3 linked regions of the Saccharomyces cerevisiae S288C genome follow. The protein of the gene in region 2 binds, or shares a complex with, the protein of the main gene of each other region. Each region holds a gene or a part of one and is shown on either strand. Other genes may lie near its edges. The genes, in order: SIP2, SNF1 and SNF4. A codon is read from its position in the direction of its gene.

The links.
Region 1: the proteins of SNF1 (region 2) and SIP2 are in contact, whole or in part, in a crystal structure (PDB 3T4N), measured with the Saccharomyces cerevisiae proteins. Residues at the interface, in NP_010765.3 of Saccharomyces cerevisiae: Lys502 (codon at 5,594), Thr503 (codon at 5,597), Arg504 (codon at 5,600), Trp505 (codon at 5,603), His506 (codon at 5,606), Phe507 (codon at 5,609), Gly508 (codon at 5,612), Ile509 (codon at 5,615), Pro515 (codon at 5,633), Leu516 (codon at 5,636), Met519 (codon at 5,645), Gly520 (codon at 5,648), Tyr523 (codon at 5,657), Ile524 (codon at 5,660), Lys527 (codon at 5,669), Ala531 (codon at 5,681), Glu532 (codon at 5,684), Trp533 (codon at 5,687), Ala534 (codon at 5,690), Lys535 (codon at 5,693), Pro536 (codon at 5,696), Glu538 (codon at 5,702), Glu539 (codon at 5,705), Leu541 (codon at 5,711), Trp542 (codon at 5,714), Lys545 (codon at 5,723), Leu546 (codon at 5,726), Arg547 (codon at 5,729), Gln571 (codon at 5,801), Leu572 (codon at 5,804); in NP_011307.1 of Saccharomyces cerevisiae: Glu304 (codon at 4,594), Tyr305 (codon at 4,597), Thr306 (codon at 4,600), Thr307 (codon at 4,603), Asp308 (codon at 4,606), Ile309 (codon at 4,609), Pro310 (codon at 4,612), Val312 (codon at 4,618), Phe313 (codon at 4,621), Met319 (codon at 4,639), Tyr322 (codon at 4,648), Trp337 (codon at 4,693), Leu338 (codon at 4,696), Thr339 (codon at 4,699), Pro340 (codon at 4,702), Pro341 (codon at 4,705), Gln342 (codon at 4,708), Leu343 (codon at 4,711), Pro344 (codon at 4,714), Gln346 (codon at 4,720), Leu347 (codon at 4,723), Asn349 (codon at 4,729), Leu352 (codon at 4,738), Asn353 (codon at 4,741), Tyr356 (codon at 4,750), Asp360 (codon at 4,762), Val377 (codon at 4,813), Leu378 (codon at 4,816), Asn379 (codon at 4,819), His380 (codon at 4,822).
Region 3: the proteins of SNF1 (region 2) and SNF4 are in contact, whole or in part, in a crystal structure (PDB 3T4N), measured with the Saccharomyces cerevisiae proteins. Residues at the interface, in NP_010765.3 of Saccharomyces cerevisiae: Ser465 (codon at 5,483), Thr466 (codon at 5,486), Val467 (codon at 5,489), Ser468 (codon at 5,492), Ile469 (codon at 5,495), Leu470 (codon at 5,498), Thr472 (codon at 5,504), Ser473 (codon at 5,507), Leu474 (codon at 5,510), Pro475 (codon at 5,513), Gln476 (codon at 5,516), His478 (codon at 5,522), Arg479 (codon at 5,525), Met482 (codon at 5,534), Ser487 (codon at 5,549), Ala489 (codon at 5,555), Ala490 (codon at 5,558), Ile493 (codon at 5,567), Ser494 (codon at 5,570), Pro495 (codon at 5,573), Leu496 (codon at 5,576), Thr498 (codon at 5,582), Lys499 (codon at 5,585), Lys500 (codon at 5,588), Ser501 (codon at 5,591), Tyr550 (codon at 5,738), Pro563 (codon at 5,777), Gly588 (codon at 5,852), Trp589 (codon at 5,855), Ser608 (codon at 5,912); in NP_011400.1 of Saccharomyces cerevisiae: Leu41 (codon at 1,786), Val43 (codon at 1,792), Leu58 (codon at 1,837), Gln59 (codon at 1,840), Ser61 (codon at 1,846), Trp68 (codon at 1,867), Ser70 (codon at 1,873), Ser73 (codon at 1,882), Phe75 (codon at 1,888), Asp151 (codon at 2,116), Gln152 (codon at 2,119), Asp153 (codon at 2,122), Glu154 (codon at 2,125), Glu155 (codon at 2,128), Thr156 (codon at 2,131), Ile160 (codon at 2,143), Met204 (codon at 2,275), Leu232 (codon at 2,359), Ile233 (codon at 2,362), Asn234 (codon at 2,365), Gly243 (codon at 2,392), Lys246 (codon at 2,401), Leu255 (codon at 2,428), Gly258 (codon at 2,437), Glu259 (codon at 2,440), Leu261 (codon at 2,446), Met262 (codon at 2,449), Arg263 (codon at 2,452), Arg264 (codon at 2,455), Ser265 (codon at 2,458).

What each region holds. Positions count from the first base shown.
Region 1 is NC_001139.9:93,654-101,110, forward strand, and holds SIP2 (Sip2p), read left to right. Parts: upstream 1-3,684; coding exon 3,685-4,932; downstream 4,933-7,457. Other genes in the region: Rab family GTPase YPT32, read left to right, coding at 139-807; MIG2 (Mig2p), read left to right, coding at 2,205-3,353; chromatin-remodeling protein SPT16, read left to right, coding at 5,316-7,457. UniProt on the Saccharomyces cerevisiae protein: Beta subunit of the SNF1 kinase complex, which is required for transcriptional, metabolic, and developmental adaptations in response to glucose limitation.
Region 2 is NC_001136.10:1,408,283-1,416,401, forward strand, and holds SNF1 (AMP-activated serine/threonine-protein kinase catalytic subunit SNF1), read left to right. Parts: upstream 1-4,090; coding exon 4,091-5,992; downstream 5,993-8,119. Other genes in the region: JIP4 (Jip4p), read right to left, coding at 1-1,812; YDR476C (uncharacterized protein), read right to left, coding at 2,171-2,845; SNM1 (Snm1p), read left to right, coding at 6,293-6,889; PEX29 (Pex29p), read right to left, coding at 6,928-8,119. UniProt on the Saccharomyces cerevisiae protein: Serine/threonine protein kinase essential for release from glucose repression.
Region 3 is NC_001139.9:290,368-297,437, forward strand, and holds SNF4 (AMP-activated serine/threonine-protein kinase regulatory subunit SNF4), read left to right. Parts: upstream 1-1,665; coding exon 1,666-2,634; downstream 2,635-7,070. Other genes in the region: ubiquitin-protein transferase activating protein CDC20, read left to right, coding at 1-1,274; YGL114W (uncharacterized protein), read left to right, coding at 3,093-5,270; SLD3 (Sld3p), read left to right, coding at 5,565-7,070. UniProt on the Saccharomyces cerevisiae protein: Adenine nucleotides-binding subunit gamma of AMP-activated protein kinase (AMPK), an energy sensor protein kinase that plays a key role in regulating cellular energy metabolism.

The sequences.
Region 1 (7,457 bases), on a different chromosome or scaffold from region 2:
GCGCCCTCCATTAGAACGCGCAACACAATAAAGACAAATAAAAGAATCAGCTATAAAGCTGGCCATTGCATGGTTCGCGCTGGAAAGAGAGGAAAAGCGTGGTGATAAAGAGCGAACCAAGCATATTGTTTTCCAAGAATGAGCAACGAAGATTACGGATACGACTACGATTATTTATTTAAGATAGTTCTTATCGGCGACTCCGGTGTGGGTAAATCTAATCTGTTGTCGAGATTTACAACCGATGAATTCAACATTGAATCCAAATCCACGATTGGCGTGGAATTCGCTACAAGAACCATTGAAGTTGAAAACAAGAAGATAAAAGCACAGATTTGGGACACGGCAGGTCAAGAACGTTACAGGGCCATCACGTCTGCGTACTACCGTGGTGCTGTAGGTGCACTTATAGTGTATGATATAAGCAAATCAAGTTCATACGAAAATTGCAACCACTGGCTTACCGAACTGAGAGAGAACGCAGATGACAACGTGGCTGTTGGGTTGATAGGGAACAAATCAGATCTGGCTCATTTAAGAGCAGTACCAACCGATGAAGCGAAAAATTTCGCAATGGAAAACCAAATGTTATTTACTGAGACAAGTGCTTTAAATAGTGATAATGTAGATAAAGCATTTAGAGAACTGATCGTAGCCATCTTCCAAATGGTAAGCAAACATCAAGTAGACTTAAGCGGGTCGGGTACCAACAACATGGGCTCTAATGGCGCTCCAAAGGGTCCTACCATCAGCTTAACACCGGCACCAAAGGAAGACAAGAAGAAAAAATCCAGCAACTGTTGTTAAAAATTTTGTGCCCTACTAAGGTCGCATGGTTTCATGCATATTCTGTCTACATATAACCCCCGTTAATAATGCTTTTATAAATATAATCAATTACATATACCTTCCCAAGTTATTTATTACTAACCTTCGTTGCACGCAAGAAAAAATGTATTAACGTACATACATTTTCTAAATAGACCTTTCCTGACGCCTGCATTTTGCAATAGCCGAAGATAAGAATATGATTTTTTTTTTACGATTTAAATATTCTGTTGTTGTGCAGTCTAAAAACACACGTGTATGTTTTTTTCCGCACGCATGAGCAGAATTAGACGGTTTTATAAACGTTCGCTCTGTGTATTTCACGTACCTTCCCGGATACAAATTTCGTCATGGTTTATATTGGAAGTTTTTCCGAAATTGCGGGTTTTGAAGGTTTATCCGAGACGACGTGAGGGGTAGGCAGGAGAAGGAAGGCTGTTTACGTACGCAAGGATGGGGTACGACAATGATTCAATTTCTGTTGCTAAGTTTTTTGTTATTTTTTCATATTGGCCTACTCATCTTTGATATCATTATTTTTTCGAATCTACATTAGAGCGTGTTTCGGAAAACAAACTCGCTCGATACAGTAATTGCGTTTTATTTACGGAAATTACCGTTCTCGGTTCCAAGAAGGTTAGAAAAATCGGTTGTCGCTCTTTCTTTCCCCCACTTGTAAAAACAAAGAAAGTATAAAATAGTTTATGGCCCTTAAGGCAGGCCTTGTTGAATTTGAGCTATACCTACCCCAATGATAGTTCTGTGGTAGTTTGTTTGAATATGTAATATGAGAAGCACGATGGCAAACGATAATCTTCACTGAGCTGATTTACGAGCGACCATCATCTCCACGGTGCGAATTAATAAGCTGTGGCGATGTGCTGTAGTTGCCCTATCGCCCCTGCGGAGCTTGCGTCAACTAGCTCTCCCCTTTCCCCATTGAAGTTAGCGTATTACCATCAGTTAATGATTGATAGGCTCATACGAAGAAGAAAAAAAGCCGGGATAAGAAACCCCGCCTCCACTTTTTTGGCTCATCCGAAAATTTATCCGCGGAGACATCCACGGAGCACCCGCAAAACTGAAGTAATAACTCTAAATTATATGCCGCTGAGAAAAATCTCGTACGAGGATACGGTAAATAATCCGTGCGAGAAAGTTTTTCCGAAAATCATTCCCGGTCAAAAGCGTTTCTGGTATATAAGCGATTGGGAAACCCGTCTATAATACGTAGTAACTTACGATCTGCCTGTCAAATTGTGTGCTTGTCCTTGTACTATTACCATTGTGTAGCTTATCTTAACTCTCAATTAAGTTTTAACTCACGCTAAGACTATTGACCTCGAGAACAAACAAAATAAAAATAAAAAAAGAGAATGCCTAAAAAGCAAACGAATTTCCCAGTAGATAACGAAAACAGACCTTTTAGATGTGATACCTGTCACCGTGGTTTCCATCGGTTAGAACATAAAAAGAGACACTTGAGAACACACACTGGGGAAAAACCTCATCATTGCGCATTTCCTGGTTGTGGGAAAAGTTTCAGTAGAAGCGATGAACTGAAAAGGCACATGAGAACGCATACAGGGCAATCTCAAAGGAGATTGAAGAAAGCTAGCGTACAGAAACAGGAGTTTTTGACAGTAAGCGGAATTCCTACCATTGCATCGGGCGTGATGATACACCAACCAATACCGCAAGTCCTACCAGCAAATATGGCCATAAATGTTCAGGCAGTAAATGGAGGTAACATTATACACGCTCCCAATGCGGTGCACCCAATGGTGATACCAATCATGGCCCAACCAGCCCCCATTCATGCCTCCGCTGCATCTTTCCAGCCTGCAACTTCTCCTATGCCAATTTCTACATACACTCCAGTTCCATCGCAATCATTCACCTCTTTCCAGAGCTCTATTGGCTCCATACAGTCAAATAGTGATGTTTCATCTATCTTCTCGAACATGAATGTTCGCGTAAACACTCCACGCTCTGTGCCAAACTCTCCGAATGATGGATATTTACACCAGCAACATATCCCACAGCAGTATCAGCATCAAACTGCCAGCCCTTCTGTTGCCAAGCAGCAGAAAACTTTTGCACATTCTCTTGCATCTGCATTATCTACCTTACAAAAAAGAACGCCTGTAAGTGCCCCTTCCACCACTATAGAATCACCATCCTCACCAAGTGATTCCAGTCATACCTCTGCATCCAGCAGCGCTATCTCTTTGCCTTTCAGCAATGCTCCTTCTCAGCTCGCCGTGGCCAAAGAACTTGAGTCCGTCTATTTAGATTCCAATAGATACACCACCAAGACTAGGAGGGAAAGAGCAAAATTCGAAATTCCTGAAGAACAAGAAGAAGATACCAATAACAGCAGCAGTGGTAGTAATGAGGAGGAGCACGAGTCGCTAGATCATGAATCTAGCAAAAGCCGAAAGAAATTGTCAGGCGTAAAATTGCCGCCTGTACGTAACCTACTGAAACAAATTGATGTTTTCAACGGTCCCAAAAGAGTTTAACCTTTACGGCCCCTTTTTATCTCACCATTTTTCCTCTAACGAACTGTCATGAAACAACTTAGCATATAACGCGTACTTACATAGATAGATTAAATAGATAACCATGCATATCACTAACTAGCATCGTCATGAATAGCACGTTTACCTATACGAATTGCGGCCGGCATGGTCTTTTATATTGCTCCCTTGGACCGAGTAAAGATTTACCTTGCGTTTTCGGATCGTCAAAATCTTTTAGGGAAAGGATAAATACACCACAAGATTCCTGGGAAATGAAAAGTATCTGAAATAATTGTGCTTTTGGAAGGGTACTGAGAGCAGTGAAGTTTCTATGGGTACTACGACAAGTCATCCAGCCCAAAAAAAGCAAACAACAAAAAAGTGTCGTGCACCTATCATGAGTGACGTTAGAGAAAAACCCAGCAATGCTCAAGGCTGCGAACCGCAAGAAATGGATGCTGTGAGCAAGAAAGTTACTGAACTGAGCTTAAATAAATGTTCAGATTCCCAAGACGCGGGGCAGCCTTCAAGGGAGGGATCTATTACCAAAAAAAAATCGACGTTATTGCTGCGTGATGAGGACGAGCCCACTATGCCAAAGCTATCTGTTATGGAAACTGCTGTGGACACTGACTCTGGGTCTTCGTCTACTAGCGATGATGAAGAGGGAGATATTATTGCCCAGACGACAGAGCCCAAGCAAGATGCCAGTCCTGATGATGATCGCTCAGGCCATTCTTCGCCCAGAGAGGAGGGACAACAGCAAATACGTGCCAAAGAAGCTTCGGGAGGTCCAAGTGAAATCAAGAGCTCATTAATGGTTCCCGTGGAGATAAGGTGGCAGCAAGGTGGTTCAAAAGTTTACGTGACAGGCTCATTCACCAAATGGAGGAAAATGATCGGTTTGATACCTGATTCTGACAATAATGGCTCATTTCATGTGAAGCTAAGGCTGCTTCCAGGCACACATAGATTCAGATTTATAGTGGATAATGAGCTTAGAGTTAGTGATTTCCTGCCCACAGCAACTGATCAGATGGGAAACTTCGTCAATTACATAGAAGTCAGGCAACCAGAAAAAAACCCAACTAACGAAAAGATAAGGTCCAAGGAAGCAGATTCCATGCGACCTCCCACCAGCGATCGATCCTCAATTGCTCTACAAATTGGTAAGGATCCAGACGATTTTGGTGACGGATATACAAGGTTTCATGAAGATCTGTCACCCAGACCTCCGTTGGAATATACAACAGACATTCCCGCCGTGTTTACTGACCCGTCTGTCATGGAACGATACTATTATACCTTGGATCGTCAGCAAAGCAATACTGATACGTCATGGCTGACACCACCCCAATTACCTCCTCAGTTGGAGAATGTTATCTTGAATAAATACTATGCCACGCAAGACCAGTTCAACGAGAACAACTCAGGCGCTCTGCCCATTCCGAACCATGTGGTGCTTAACCACTTGGTTACTAGTAGCATTAAGCACAATACACTTTGTGTAGCCTCCATCGTTCGATATAAACAGAAATATGTCACCCAGATTCTTTATACGCCCATAGAGTCCTCGTAATCCGGGATTCCTACTTTTTAAAGGCGTATTGTATATATTTTTGGCAGCTATGGCACACTAATTTCTATTTCCAATTTAGTGTAAGCAGAGATATAGAAGCATATAACATAATGATTTACTAATGGGCTCAGTACTCTCAATGCTTATTGTTATCACAAACCACGATACTAATACCCGGAAGTCGCGTGATCTTTTTTTTTTTCGGAAAATGAGAATCGCCACTTTTCTAACGAAAGAATATTGAAATCTTAATATTGGTGAGAAGAGGAATAAAAGTAGCTAAGAGAGTCACGGGACTAAAAGGTAAAAAGTTCAGCTATTCCAACTTTACTCCTTTCTGATATTGCACCTTTCGTGAACTGGCTTCGTGTATTTAAGTGAATATGGAAGAGCTGAATATTGATTTTGACGTATTTAAGAAAAGGATTGAATTGTTGTATTCCAAGTACAATGAGTTTGAAGGTTCTCCAAATTCGCTGCTGTTTGTTTTAGGTTCGTCCAACGCTGAAAACCCGTACCAGAAGACGACCATATTGCATAATTGGTTGCTAAGTTACGAATTTCCCGCTACTTTGATTGCATTAGTTCCCGGAAAGGTTATTATAATTACTAGTTCTGCCAAGGCCAAGCATTTACAAAAGGCAATTGATCTATTTAAAGACCCTGAAAGCAAAATTACGCTGGAATTGTGGCAAAGAAACAATAAAGAACCAGAACTCAATAAAAAGTTATTTGATGACGTTATTGCCTTAATCAATAGCGCTGGTAAAACAGTGGGTATCCCTGAAAAGGACTCTTACCAAGGTAAATTTATGACTGAGTGGAACCCAGTATGGGAAGCGGCTGTGAAGGAGAACGAATTCAATGTCATTGATATTTCGCTGGGTCTTTCTAAAGTTTGGGAAGTGAAGGATGTTAACGAACAAGCCTTCCTGTCCGTTTCAAGTAAGGGGTCGGACAAATTTATGGACCTTTTATCCAATGAAATGGTTCGGGCAGTTGACGAGGAGTTGAAAATCACCAATGCCAAGTTATCAGACAAAATTGAAAATAAAATTGATGATGTGAAATTTTTGAAGCAATTGAGTCCCGATTTAAGCGCATTATGCCCACCAAACTACAAATTCAACTTTGATTTATTGGATTGGACCTATTCTCCAATCATTCAGTCCGGGAAAAAGTTTGATCTTAGGGTTTCTGCCCGTTCTACCAATGATCAGTTGTACGGCAACGGTTGTATTTTAGCTTCATGTGGTATTCGTTACAATAATTATTGTTCTAATATTACTAGGACCTTTTTGATCGATCCATCTGAAGAAATGGCCAACAACTACGATTTTCTATTAACTTTGCAAAAAGAAATTGTAACTAACATTCTGAAGCCCGGCCGTACACCAAAAGAAGTTTATGAATCAGTAATAGAATACATCGAAAAAACCAAACCTGAACTAGTGCCCAATTTCACCAAAAACATTGGTTCATTGATTGGTCTCGAATTTAGAGATTCTAACTTTATATTAAATGTTAAGAATGATTACCGTAAAATCCAACGCGGTGACTGCTTTAATATTTCGTTTGGTTTCAATAATCTGAAAGATTCTCAAAGTGCTAACAACTACGCTTTACAATTAGCTGATACGGTTCAAATTCCTCTCGATGAAACAGAGCCTCCACGCTTCTTAACAAATTACACCAAAGCCAAATCCCAGATATCATTTTATTTCAATAATGAAGAAGAAGACAATAATAAAAAGAAATCTTCACCTGCCACCAAAGTCCCTAGTAAACCAGACAGAAATTCCAAAATTTTAAGAACAAAGTTACGTGGCGAAGCCCGTGGTGGTGCCGAAGACGCTCAAAAGGAGCAAATTCGTAAAGAAAACCAAAAGAAGCTACACGAAAAATTGGAAAAGAATGGATTACTCAGATTTAGTGCTGCTGATGCCAATGGCCCAGATAGTGAACCTCGTCAATACTTCAAAAAATATGAATCTTATGTTCGGGATTCACAACTACCAACCAATATTCGTGATCTAAGAATTCATGTCGACTGGAAAAGCCAAACAATTATTCTACCCATTTACGGTAGGCCAGTCCCATTTCATATAAATTCATATAAGAATGGTTCTAAAAACGAAGAAGGCGAATATACGTATTTACGTTTGAACTTTAATTCACCGGGATCTTCTGGTGGTATTTCTAAAAAAGTGGAGGAATTGCCGTATGAGGAATCAGCAGACAATCAATTTGTACGTTCGATTACACTAAGATCCAAAGATGGTGACCGCATGAGTGAAACCTTTAAACAAATTGCAGATTTGAAAAAAGAAGCCACAAAGAGAGAGCAAGAACGTAAGGCGCTTGCTGATGTTGTTCAACAGGACAAATTGATTGAAAATAAAACTGGAAGAACGAAAAGACTGGATCAAATTTTTGTGAGGCCAAATCCAGATACAAAACGTGTACCTAGTACTGTCTTTATCCATGAAAATGGTATCAGATTTCAATCCCCACTAAGGACTGAT
Region 2 (8,119 bases):
TGAATCATGATCGGCGTCATTTAACTGCTGAGCCATACTCTTTCTACGTTTCCTTGCCATGGTACATAACTTTTCCTTTACCGAAATGTTAGAGGTTAAGGATTTCACGGACATCACATCATTCTCATCATCCTTAAAAGCGTTAAGCTCATCATCAGATGCTTCCTCTCGGCTACTATTGTTAGCACCATTAGCTTCTGGGGCATAACATAGTGAATCTATAGAATAATCGTTATCTTGCTTCCGTTTGATATTTGAGATAGTTGGAATGCTAGCATCTGCTGATTTAGAATGGCTGAACCCAGGCTTTGGACCGCTAGTATTTTTTTGTTTCGTTACCTCCGGTTCTTTAAACTCTTTTTGCAAATCTATTTCCAAATCGAACATTCTCTTTGCCGGTACAATAAACGTTGGAATCGGAAAATTAGTACACAGTTTATCTGTCAGAAAGTTCGATTTCCAACGAACTAAGCTGTCTGTTCTCTCCCACCTCAAAGTGCTAGATACAAAGAAATCAGGTAAATAGATGTTTATTGCCTCAAGAAGCGTTTTTTTAGTCTTGCCAATTAGGATCTCGACAGTGACCTTGACAGAACGATCTTGCGGAATTATGAGTGTAACATAATCAAAAAGATCTTGCAATTTACGTTCTATTTCGTTCTGCGTATAACCAGATGTCCACTCGATAAAATTTTGGTGCTTTAATTTGTTGTCAGATTCCTCAGGCCCCAGAGAAAGTGCCCTTCTTGTACATATGGATCGTGATCTCGATCTGGATCGTGATCTTCTTGCTGAGCTAACACTCCTGCTATCATCCATCATCATTAGCATTCTTTTTCGCTCACTCATCGAATCATTGTCTTCGAAATTATTCTTAGTCAGGCGGGGCAGGTTTGCCAACACAACAATGTGGTCTGTATTTTGAATCAAAGTTCGTAGCGCCCAATCTAGTGCTACCCAAGTATGTTTCCTGCCGCTGATGTGGCACAATATCGTTCGAGGAGTGTTCGGGAACCCAACCTTTTCGCTCAAAACACGCTCTTTCCGCTTTTGAGACTTAGTCAAAGGCGTAAAGCCGTCTTCTATGGGAGGATTGAATTTTATTGTGGGAGTAGCGCCCTCAGACGACTTTTTTTTGTTTGGAGGAAACAGTATTGTTGGGTAATTGAAGAAATCGCGCTTTTGTTCTAATCGATGATCTATCTGATTTTTCTTCTTGATCCATAGTTGTCTCCAATTGGCATACGCCCTACTAATCACAAGAGCGTCATTGATATCGGTGGGTGTAGTAGGATAGTCTTCCCTTACAATTTTACCATTTTCAGAAATCTTAAACATCTTACCTATTTTGATGTTTCTTTTAGAGGCAGGAGGTGGAGAAGAATACCTGCCGGGACTAGCACTGCCCTCTCGCCTACTCGAATAGCTATTCCCGGAGAAGTAGTCGGCATTGTTGTCCGAGGTAAAGCCACTTTCGTCGTCATAATATTCCTCCATTGTATAATCTGCAGAGATCTGCACGCCAGGAAATTCTCTTTTCTCTTCATCTAAGGGCGAAGATACCCTTGATCTGGGAACTGTGTTGAAAGATACGCATGGTAGGTACTTTTCGTTGCTGCCTTTCCCCTTCTTTTTGACGGAACTGCTCGAGTCCAATATCGAGGCTAGACTGCGCCTGTCATCATTGTTGGACTTGTCCTCGTCCTGCTTAGCGAGTATGTCCACCGTATCCTCCAGCTGGTCCTGCCTGACATACAGCTTAACATATTTATAAGAATTTCTCAACGCCTCATCTTGATCTCGTACCACCATTTCCCCCTATGTTTTAGTATCTTCTGTTCCTTGTACTTTAAAGATTCCTTCCCTTAAAAATAGAAGAAAGCTTCTATTTGTTGATATTGCTTTCGAATAGTGAGTGGACTCAAGAGAAGAAAAAAACCTTTACAAAAATTATATGCAAAATATGTTGGAAAAGACAAAAGGGTTTTAAGTTGTGTTTACTAAAAAGTATATAGATAATTCTAGAGGTTATTGAGACATGCAGAATGCGTGTGCCACACCACCGCAGGTGGGTCATTCGGAAATTGTTCCTGTTGCTGCAGCGTCTGCTGCACTTTTCGCTAGAACTTTTCCAGTCGGATAGGGAGACAAAATGAAAAAAGGCCTCGGACTAATTAACTGACCCTTCGCCAAGAGTGCGAGCCTTAGTATCTAGACGTCTCGCAGGACCGTAACCTTCGAGGAGACCTAGAAGAAGCCACTCGGGCACGAACTCGCCAGGAACACGGTAGTACTTGAGCCTAGGGACGACGAAAATGAGCGTCTCGAGGGCGTGAGTCAGGAACTCGGCAACAATGATGAGTCGCAGCACAAGATCACTATCCAGCCACGCCTCTAAGGTGGAGCCCACAGGATTAGGGACCAGGAAAAAGATAGCGTGCAGTGCAGGACGATAGAGGTAGCACAATGGCGGTAGCGCCACGCCTACCAGGATCAACAAGTCTACTAGAGTGCAGGGGTACTCAACAGTGTCGATCTGGATGAGCGACAGCTTCCTCTTCTCCGCAGCGATGCGGAACATCTTGTTGAAGATTTGCTTGATTCCGGTAGCAGTGCGGGTATCGTTGCCCGTGTCATTGTCAATGAAGTAGATAATCTTCTCGATGTTCTGACCCGTTTCTGTGTGAAGGAACTTGAGCGTAAACGTGGACGTCTGCGTGTCGATCTCTGTCAGTCTGACATGCTTGACGGCCTTGGTAATGGGAACGTGGCCAAAAACGGCGAGACAATCCTCCAGCCCCAACTTGTGCGTATCGTTGATGCTTACAATTAACGAATCCCACATACTTGTGTATACCCGTATACTTGCTTGAGTTGATAGAACGCACGCTCTCGCCGATATAAGCCTCCACTCTTTATATATACCATATCCAAATAGGTGTGCACTTTGTGGCAAGGAGTAATTATAAACGAACAGAATATCCCGACCACATGGCAAGACCAAGAAAGTTCAAGACTGCGCAAGAAACGGCAGAACAGAAGCTGCTCACTAACTTCAACCTTGTAACTGAATTCGTAGGGTTAAAACTCCACCACGTTTGTAGCGGAGCAATGTCGCCTTTAAGAAGTCGCTAGCTATCTCTTTCGCCTCCGTATAGCAATCATTGTCTAATGCAATCCGCCATCGTTATGTCCGCGGCTTTTGTCTGGAGGGCAAATCACGATAGGAAGAGGCATCTTCTGTAGTAAAGGCGTCTGTAGTAAAACCTTTTCTTGGAAGCCATAACAAATCATGGCCACCAATGCCTGGCAAAAAAGGGTGGCATTGAAGGGAAATTTCAAAGATTTTTTTAATAGAGGCCCTAGGAAAAAACATGTCCGTACGTTTAGATACGGTTATAAACTGTACAATCATTTGCTATCAAATGCTGAACCTTCCCCAAGGGACTAAAAGCTGGAAATGGCAGTGTGCTACTATTTCTTTTAGTCGTATATTTAACTCTCGATCTTGCAGGCTATGATGTCCCATATGATGTCCCACATGACGCAAGTAACTTCAAAAAAAGAGGAATTGCGTGGCGGCGTGGATGCAAAAGGATGGGCGTGATGATGGGACTCGAGACCTGGTTTTACTCAATGTTAGTCATATGTATATAGTCCTTATAGGCCCATATTAGAAAGTACATGTCATAGTTACCCTCTGCAGTTTTTCTCGTAGCGGAAGGGGATGGAAATTTTTAACGTAAAAGAAAGTTGGTAAGAGTATGGCACATCAACAGGTAGCGTTATAGGGGCCAAGACATAGCTTTGGGCTTAGTACTGTAGGCTTGTTACCAGAACTTTCATTTATCGAAATATTCTTTTTTCACATTTCCTCTTACTGCGCATTCGTGTCCAAACAGTCATTCAGGAAGTATAACGATAAACAATAGATTGAAGCCTGAAAAAAAAAAAAAAAGCACGACAATAGAAATTGTTTCAGTGTCATTGGCTTTTGATAATATATAGAGGCTGTTTCAATAATCATAGCGAAAGAAATAGAAGTTTTTTTTTGTAACAAGTTTTGCTACACTCCCTTAATAAAGTCAACATGAGCAGTAACAACAACACAAACACAGCACCTGCCAATGCAAATTCTAGCCACCACCACCACCATCACCACCATCACCACCACCATCACGGTCATGGCGGAAGCAACTCGACGCTAAACAATCCCAAGTCGTCCTTAGCGGATGGTGCACATATCGGGAACTACCAAATCGTCAAAACGCTGGGAGAGGGGTCCTTTGGTAAAGTTAAATTGGCATATCATACCACTACGGGCCAAAAAGTTGCTCTAAAAATCATTAATAAGAAGGTTTTGGCAAAGAGTGATATGCAGGGCAGAATTGAAAGAGAAATATCTTATCTGAGACTCTTAAGACACCCCCACATCATCAAACTGTATGATGTTATCAAATCCAAAGATGAAATCATTATGGTTATAGAGTACGCCGGGAACGAATTGTTTGACTATATTGTTCAGAGAGACAAAATGAGCGAGCAAGAGGCAAGAAGATTTTTCCAGCAGATCATCAGTGCCGTCGAGTACTGCCATAGGCACAAAATTGTCCATAGAGATCTGAAGCCTGAAAACTTACTACTAGATGAGCATCTGAATGTAAAGATTGCCGATTTTGGTTTGTCAAACATCATGACTGATGGTAATTTCTTAAAGACTTCTTGTGGTTCTCCCAATTATGCGGCTCCTGAAGTTATCAGCGGTAAGCTGTACGCAGGCCCAGAAGTGGACGTGTGGTCATGTGGGGTTATCCTTTATGTTATGCTTTGTCGTCGTCTACCGTTTGACGATGAAAGCATCCCAGTGCTTTTCAAGAATATCAGCAACGGTGTTTACACCTTGCCTAAATTTTTATCTCCTGGAGCTGCTGGGCTAATCAAAAGAATGTTAATCGTTAATCCATTGAACAGAATAAGCATTCATGAAATTATGCAAGACGATTGGTTCAAAGTTGACCTGCCAGAATATCTACTTCCACCAGATTTGAAACCACACCCAGAAGAAGAGAATGAAAATAATGACTCAAAAAAGGATGGCAGCAGCCCAGATAACGATGAAATTGATGACAACCTTGTCAATATTTTATCATCGACCATGGGTTACGAAAAAGACGAGATTTATGAGTCCTTAGAATCATCAGAAGACACTCCTGCATTCAACGAAATTAGGGACGCGTACATGTTGATTAAGGAGAATAAATCTTTGATCAAGGATATGAAGGCAAACAAAAGCGTCAGTGATGAACTGGATACCTTTCTGTCCCAGTCACCTCCAACTTTTCAACAACAAAGCAAATCCCATCAAAAGAGTCAAGTAGATCATGAAACTGCCAAGCAACACGCAAGAAGGATGGCAAGTGCTATCACTCAACAAAGGACATATCACCAATCACCCTTCATGGATCAGTATAAAGAAGAAGACTCTACAGTTTCCATTTTGCCTACATCTTTACCTCAGATCCACAGAGCTAATATGTTAGCACAAGGTTCGCCAGCTGCCTCTAAAATATCTCCTCTTGTAACGAAAAAATCTAAAACGAGATGGCATTTTGGTATACGATCTCGCTCATATCCATTAGACGTTATGGGTGAAATTTATATTGCCTTGAAGAATTTGGGTGCCGAATGGGCCAAGCCATCTGAAGAGGATTTATGGACTATCAAATTAAGGTGGAAATATGATATTGGAAACAAGACAAACACTAATGAAAAAATACCTGATTTAATGAAAATGGTAATTCAATTATTTCAAATTGAAACCAATAATTATTTGGTGGATTTCAAATTTGACGGCTGGGAAAGTAGTTATGGAGATGATACTACTGTTTCTAATATTTCTGAAGATGAAATGAGTACTTTTTCAGCCTACCCATTTTTACATTTAACAACAAAACTAATTATGGAATTAGCCGTTAACAGTCAAAGCAATTGATGGTGGAACGTAAAAGAATGATATGGAAGTTCCCTTTTTTTTATGTATCGTAACGTATTTGCAACATCTTTATAATATCCCTTTGTATAAAGTAAACAATCTTGATTAAATAAACCTGAACATAATTTATTGATGTGAATGTTCTTTTATTGGCATTATTTCTTCGGATGAAAAGCAAATTTCACGCTCTATGAGAAAAATTGAAAACGCTATTCTATGTGAAAATAGAGATGAGTACTACTAGTGGCTACAATAAAAATACTGAACCTTTGACAATCGTACAACAAAAGGATCCCAAAAATGAATAAAGACCAGGCAGAAAAATATCAAGAACGGAGTCTGCGACAAAAATACAACCTACTACATGTACTGCCAACACTGAATTCCAGAGCGTTATCGGGACTATACTATAAAAATTTTCATAATTCTGTGAAGCGATATCAAATCATGCTGCCAGAACAACTGAAAAGTGGGAAATTTTGCTCCCATTGCGGGTGTGTTTACGTTCCTAATTTTAACGCAAGTCTTCAGTTAACGACTAATACCGAGCAAGGTGACTCCGACGAACTTGGCGGCGAGAGTATGGAAGGACCAAAAAAATGTATCCAGGTTAATTGCTTGAATTGTGAAAAGTCTAAATTGTTTGAGTGGAAATCTGAGTTCGTTGTTCCAACATTTGGACAAGATGTTAGTCCGATGATCAATAGTACCAGCAGCGGGAAGGTTTCGTACGCGGTAAAGAAGCCCCAAAAGAGTAAAACTAGTACTGGTAAGGAGAGATCCAAGAAGAGAAAGTTGAACTCACTTACAAACCTTTTATCGAAAAGAAATCAAGAGAAAAAAATGGAAAAGAAGAAAAGTTCGTCACTGTCATTAGAAAGTTTTATGAAAAGTTGACTGTATCATCAGTGAACATATAGTATAACAAATCAAGTTTATATAGTTGAATTGAGAGTGTCTGTTAGCTCTTCGATTGACGGATAAGATGCATCCGCGTCGATATTGTTGAGATTAGGAATAGTACCGTTTATACTTTCCTCATCAGCGCGGTCATCATCACTACTGTGAGTTAGACCGCCACTCATTGAACCCTTCGTCACGCCATGTACGCCTTGCCTATATGTTTCTTCCCTCAATGGATTAACTACTTCCTCCTCACCAAGGTTTGAAGAAATACCAGAATCCAGTTTTTTCCGCACGCAACTGTTGGTCCACATTCGCCTTCTATATGAGCCCCTTTGTCCATCAAGATTGAGGTCATAGACCCATTTTGTTTCTGAATCTATCTCGACATACTGAATAAATTCGTCCTCTACCCATTCTTTTGGATCCAAATCAAGCACCCAATGAGAATTGGCTTCCCATTCCCAATCCTTAGGTGGCTCAATTTCTTCTAATGACTTCACTGAATTTTCCTCAATACGCCTCTGGTATATTCTCAAACTAGAGAAAAGAGAATAATCGTCATCAGAGAATCCAACTGGGCGCCATTCTTTGTATTCAGGAAGATACTTTTGGATCTCAAAGATCATAACAAGTCGGTGCTCCCTAGCCTCAATGAGTTTCAAATGCTGCAAAATCTTAGATTCCAGATTAGTACTTATAGTCAAAGTTTTTAATCTTGTCTCCTCCGAATTCAATTTAGTCAACAAATATTCACGATTGGACGGATGCGAGGCAATAAAAAAACCCCAACCTAGCAGTATCAGTACGGGTCTCATTGGAATGAGCTTGATAAATTTATCCATGTACAGAAAATTTAATGTTGCTATTATTAACAATACAATAAAATAAAACGACGAAATAGCCTCGTTGGTGAAGAATGCAAACTTTTGTAATATGAGTAAAGTAAAATCGTAGAATTTAACATATAGCAGCATATGGTTTTGTAAATCCGTGAGGTTTAAGACAAATTCTTGGCTCAGTTCAGGGACTGGTTTAGGAACCTCAGGTCTTCGCAAAGGTGGGCCTTGTGCTGGTGTTTGATTATTATCTAGATAGCTTGTAGGGTTTGGCTTATGAATGTAAAGGTATTGCGGGACCATTACGCAGAATAACAAATAGAATATAGGGAGCGAAGAAAGCATTTGAAAAGGTTTCAATATAATGAGCGTGTATAAGAACATG
Region 3 (7,070 bases), on a different chromosome or scaffold from region 2:
AACAAAATGTAGCTGAAGCGTGTGGGTTAGATATGAATAAAAGAATACTACAATACATGCCGGAACCACCAAAATGCTCTTCCTTGAGACAAAAAAGCTATATCATGAAGAAAAGAACACATTATAGTTATCAGCAGGAACAAAAAATTCCTGATTTAATTAAATTAAGGAAAATCAATACCAATCCGGAAAGAATTCTTGATGCACCTGGTTTCCAAGACGACTTTTATTTAAACTTGTTAAGTTGGTCCAAAAAAAATGTCTTAGCTATAGCACTAGACACTGCATTATATCTGTGGAATGCCACCACTGGGGATGTTTCCCTGTTAACGGATTTCGAAAACACCACAATATGCAGCGTTACGTGGTCTGATGATGATTGTCATATCTCTATCGGTAAAGAGGATGGGAACACCGAAATTTGGGACGTTGAGACCATGTCATTAATTAGAACTATGAGATCAGGCTTAGGTGTCCGTATCGGTTCATTGTCTTGGTTAGATACTTTGATAGCTACAGGCAGTCGTAGTGGAGAAATTCAAATCAATGATGTCAGGATCAAACAGCATATTGTATCTACATGGGCAGAGCACACAGGCGAAGTCTGCGGTTTGAGCTATAAAAGTGACGGATTGCAACTTGCATCTGGTGGTAATGATAACACTGTAATGATTTGGGATACCAGAACGTCCTTGCCTCAATTTTCCAAGAAGACGCATACTGCTGCTGTAAAAGCACTAAGCTGGTGTCCATATTCGCCAAATATTCTAGCCTCTGGAGGCGGACAAACAGATAAACACATCCATTTTTGGAACAGTATCACAGGTGCACGAGTTGGCTCAATCAATACCGGATCCCAGGTGAGCTCTTTACATTGGGGCCAAAGTCATACGTCAACCAATGGTGGTATGATGAATAAAGAGATTGTTGCCACAGGAGGTAATCCAGAGAATGCAATCTCTGTTTATAATTATGAAACAAAATTCAAAGTTGCAGAAGTAGTTCATGCTCATGAAGCAAGAATATGCTGTTCTCAATTGTCCCCTGACGGAACCACATTGGCCACAGTGGGAGGAGATGAAAACTTAAAATTTTATAAGATATTTGATCCAAGATGTACAGGAAGATCGAGAGAAGACGGATTGATGGATGGTATGCTAGGACTTATTGGCAAGGAAGGTTGTCGAACAAATGATAAGGAGAATCGTTCCAAAAATTCGAGTGAGATTCATACAAGGAGGCCCTCTAGTACCAGCCAATATTTGATCAGGTGATAAAATAAAAAAAATAAAAGTTCATGTCAAGGCATATAATGAAATTTCCATACACGCATACATAATGTATAAACATAAATGTATTCAAGAAGCTTAAGAAATAAAAGTAATGAACCTTGAGAATACATCAAGATATAACTCATCACATGTTAAAGAACCCACACACCACACGCGCGAGAACTGGGAGGGAGAGAAATTTAGCAAATAACAAAATTTAGGCCTTGGAAGAAACCATAGCAATGCAATAATCGTTATTAACATAATATCTACATTGAGAACTTCTTGGGCTAGTGGTTTTGCTGCAAACTGGAAAATTGTATCAATCTTTTAACGTTAGCTAAACATCTTCTGCTGTGTTAGCATTAGGAGGAAGCGAAAAGGAAAATACATAATGAAACCGACACAGGATTCACAAGAAAAGGTTTCTATTGAACAGCAGTTAGCTGTAGAATCGATAAGGAAGTTTTTGAACTCGAAAACATCTTATGACGTGTTGCCTGTTTCTTACCGTTTAATTGTCTTGGACACCTCGTTGTTAGTGAAGAAATCACTGAATGTTCTTTTGCAAAATAGCATTGTCTCTGCGCCATTATGGGACTCCAAGACTTCCAGGTTCGCTGGACTTCTAACTACTACAGATTTTATTAATGTCATCCAGTATTACTTCTCCAATCCAGATAAGTTCGAATTAGTAGACAAATTACAGTTAGATGGATTAAAAGATATAGAGCGTGCTCTCGGTGTTGATCAACTAGATACAGCTTCAATTCATCCTTCTAGACCCTTATTTGAGGCGTGTCTTAAGATGTTAGAATCAAGAAGTGGTAGAATACCACTGATCGATCAAGATGAAGAGACACATAGAGAAATTGTCGTTAGTGTTCTTACGCAATATAGAATTCTGAAGTTCGTTGCTTTAAATTGCAGGGAAACACATTTTCTAAAGATTCCAATTGGGGACTTGAACATTATTACGCAAGATAACATGAAAAGCTGTCAAATGACCACTCCGGTCATAGACGTCATTCAGATGCTTACCCAAGGTCGGGTTTCTTCCGTCCCTATTATTGACGAAAACGGCTACTTAATCAACGTATATGAAGCATACGATGTCCTAGGCTTGATAAAAGGAGGCATCTACAACGACCTGTCATTGAGCGTCGGAGAAGCCCTTATGAGGAGAAGTGATGATTTTGAGGGTGTTTATACATGCACTAAGAATGATAAATTATCTACTATTATGGATAACATCAGAAAAGCAAGGGTGCATAGATTCTTTGTAGTTGATGACGTCGGACGGTTGGTTGGTGTCTTGACGTTAAGCGATATTCTCAAATATATCCTTCTAGGTAGCAACTGAAACGAGCCGATGAGATTTTTGTGTACATACTATAAATAAATGCAACTAATAAAGTCATGATTAATCAGTCATGCATACTTCATCTGACCAATATATTTTCATCTTGCTTATTTTGGGTATAATTCGGCGGAAATTCGGTTATAAAGCGAAGTGAAAAATCGATTAGTAATGATACTGATGCGATCTCTGGGAGGGGGGAATGCTGCATATAAGGGTGAAGGAAGATAATGCAAAGCCTTTTGTAGTATTGTCTGTTGATACCAAAATAAATTAGTTCATCAAAAAGGTACAGGCAGCTAAAGAAAAGCTGTAAATTTAACGCCGTAGAAGGTATTTTTCGTGAGATCTATCTCAAGGCATCATTTTTTTTATTTTCGCACCAAGATAGGAAGAAAAAGAGTCACAGTATAGAGGACTAACCGTTAAAGATTCTAAATCGGTACTGTAAATACTTTGAAATGCCTCAATCTACTCCAAGTCAAGAAGTACAGCGTGTACCATGGGATAATAAACCTGCTTTGAAGCAGATAACACTCCGAGCAACCATAGCAGGTATCGCTATAGGGTCTCTGGTGCTAACATCAAATTTTCAATTTGGCCTGCAAACCGGTTGGGTTTCCATGATGTCCCTGCCATCGGCATTGTTAGCTTGTGCTTTCTTTAAAAATATCTGGCCATTAATATTTCCGAACGACAGGCCTTTCAGTGACGTTGAAAATGTATACGTACAAAGTATGGCAGTAGCTGTCGGAACAGGCCCATTAGCCTTTGGGTTTGTCGGCGTCATACCTGCCATCGAGAAGTTCCTTACTAACGACGAAAGTGGTGGATTAAGGGAACAAGGACAGTCCTTCACTTTTAGAGAATTGTTAATATGGTCCACAGCCCTAGCATTCTTCGGTATTTTTTTTGCAGTTCCTCTAAGAAAGCAAGTAATTGTTAGAGAGAAACTTCCCTTCCCCAGTGGTAGCGCCACGGCCACTTTAATTTCAGTGCTAAATGGAACTGAGATTTTACAAGAGGTTTCTAAGTCAGAGTTATTGGAAATGAGGCAGAGGAGATTGAATGAATGCCCTGAAGTGCTACAACCCAACAGAGATCCAGAGGAGGCGGATTATTTAATGAACTCTTCTCATAGCGAACTTGGTGATTATACGGCAACTAGCCAAGATGGAAGTTCTATCCTTTCTACTGGCTCTGAGAACTACAGAGCGAATATTATTATTTTATTGAAAACTTTTGTTGTTTCTTCGCTTTACACCATGGTGTCATATTTTGTACCGGTAATACGGTCTATTCCAGTCTTCGGAAAATACCTCTCGAACAATTATCTCTGGAATTTTCAGCCGTCGCCTGCGTATATAGGCCAAGGGATAATAATGGGTCTTCCAACAGTATCGTATATGCTTATCGGGTGCTTCTTAGGCTGGGGTGTGTTAGCACCATTGGCGAGATACAAAAGATGGGTACCACCAGATGCTGATGTCCACGACTGGGAGGAGGGAGTGCAAGGATGGATTCTTTGGTCGTCGCTTTCAATAATGGTTGCTGACAGTGTAGTCGCTTTTATTGTTGTGACAGTGAAGTCCATTGTGAAATTTATTCTTATAGATGACAAAGCTGCTTTACTGAACAACATAATCGATGATACATTTCAATCTATGTTACTGGAGGAGGAACGCGCCATTAATAGCAGCAGAAGAAATACATATGTTGATGGAAGGCAGGACACCGTAAGATTAGTGAGTAGAGATAACGAAATAGAAGTAGATTCGAAGCATTTGGTTCGCTATACCACCGTTATCAGTGGATGTCTAGTCTCCTCGATAATATGCATTGTTTCCATAATATATTTGTTTGGGATACAAGTAATTCCCCTATATGCTATTATCACTGCTTTGATACTTGCGTTGTTTCTATCTATTCTCGGTATTCGAGCACTTGGAGAGACCGATCTGAATCCTGTGAGCGGCATTGGTAAGATCTCTCAATTGATTTTTGCCTTTATCATACCAAGGGATAGACCTGGATCAGTGTTAATGAACGTGGTATCGGGAGGTATTGCAGAAGCCTCTGCCCAACAGGCGGGCGATTTAATGCAGGATTTGAAAACGGGGCACCTCCTCGGCGCCTCCCCAAGAGCTCAGTTCTGTGCCCAATTGATAGGGGCCTGTTGGTCAATTATTTTGTCTAGCTTCATGTATTTGTGCTACAATAAAGTTTATTCAATTCCGAGTGAGCAATTCAGGATACCGACAGCAGTAGTGTGGATAGATTGTGCAAGACTAGTAACTGGTAAAGGGCTCCCTGATAAGGCCTTGGAGTGCTCCATGATTCTCGGAGTCATATTTGCCGTTTTATCATTAATCAGAAACACTTATAGAGATTACGGATACGGGTGGATATTATATATTCCGTCTGGTGTAGCAGTCGGTGTTGGTATATTTAATTCTCCCAGTTTTACAATTGCAAGATTCATCGGCGGGTGGGCTTCGCATTTTTGGTTGAAGAATCATAGGGGTGACTTAAATGCGAAAACAAAAATGATTGTATTCAGTTCGGGGTTGGTCTTAGGTGAAGGTATCTTTAGCGTAATAAACATGCTCTTCATCTGCTTAAATGTCCCTCACTATTAGGTATATAATATTTTACTAATAAAGAATTTACAAAGTTTACAAATTTTAAATTATTTACTCATCACATAATTCGATGTCTTAGATTTCCCTGTATATATATTTCTAGGTGACAAAAATCCTAGGCAAAATGTTATATTATACGCGACCTTGAAATATCGGCTATCTTGGTGTACAACATGGTCCATTTAAGAAAAATAAAAAAAAGTGATGGGCACTGTTAAAACAGGCAGAAGCCTCATTCATAACTGCTGAAGGGTTAAGATCGTATAGGTAGGAACGATCTGACCTCTCATAATGGAAACATGGGAAGTCATAGCATCGGTAAAAGAAGCAACAAAAGGCCTTGACTTGAGCTTAGATCATCCACTTATTATTAAATCCGAGGACGTGCCCAGTAACATTCTCCAATTACTGCAACAGAAGAATCGACGTCAATTGAAACACATCTGCATGAAATCAAGAAAAGAGTATTTTCTACTAGAGGAATATGGGCCAGGATTTTGGGTTAAGTGGCCGTACAATTATTTCAATGGTTACAGCTTACCAGAAAGGCGTACGGAAGTTGTAACGACAGTTGAAAGAGAAAGAGCTAAGCGTGAAACGTTAAAAACATGGGACGAATTGAAATTTAAAGAGCTTCTTCATTTATGGTCAGAAGAACCCAAGGGCTCGTGTAAGCTTGAGAAGGACAAAGACCTTAAACTGGATATGAATCCCCCAGATATGAAAGGCGAATCAAAAATTAATGACTACTATTCAGACCCTAAAGAGTACATAGAAAGTAAGTATTATGATGCTCTTTTTTCCATACATACGCCTCTCGCATATTTCGTCAAGTCAAATTTAGTAAGGCTCAAAAATACCTGCCGAACCAAGTACGGAAGTGACAGTTACAAAATAGCCTATCAAGCCATGCTGCAAAAATTTCTTCTCTCAATTGTACAATTCAAAGATAGACATGATAACAGGCTTTTATTAGAGCCCTTTTCTAGTCCCATAGCAGATGAAAAAAGGAAGAACTGTCTCACAAAATTTGTTATCCAAGATGAAAACAAAAACAGCTCAACCATTGCTGATTTATGTGTTGTATTAAAATCCCGCGAAATAAAGCTACAAATATTATTGCTATTAGAGATAATAGGATTGAACGATTTAGATTGGAATTTTAGAGATTTTGAGAAAAAGTATAAATTAAAATTGAAGAAAAGATCACTTAATTTGACAAAAAAGGGATTAGTTCGTCGAAGATCGAAGAAAAAAACCAGCGAAAAAGACAAAGGAATCGAGAGAATAACAACATCTTTGGATTATTGTGAACAGTTAGACTTGTACTTAGATAGAGCATGCATCTTGGACATTCTACTATCAAGTGAAACGCCCAACCCAGATGCCATAGAAGCATCAAATGGAACAATACAAGAGCATAAAAAAAATATCCTAGACAAAAGCAAAGAAGCCTCATTGGTTGGGTTCATAAATTATGTTCTTATTCCATATTTCAACAAAAAGGTACCACACGCCGTTGAATTTATAATTCAAAAGCTCAAGGGACCAAGCATGAGACCAAAGAGAGCCCTGAAAAAGGTCAACGATAGCACAAATGTATCGTCACCTAATACTGTAGAAACGTATAACAGGTTATCCACGAGTCAACGTGCCTCTCGCTCTTCAATCATTAATTCCGTCCCATCTTCACCCGCATTGAGAAGGGTGGACGCTAATTTGTTCAGCAGAAAATCTATAGCTTCGCCCACCCCTGAACTTTTGAATTCTAGAACGAACTCTAACTTGAATGAATTT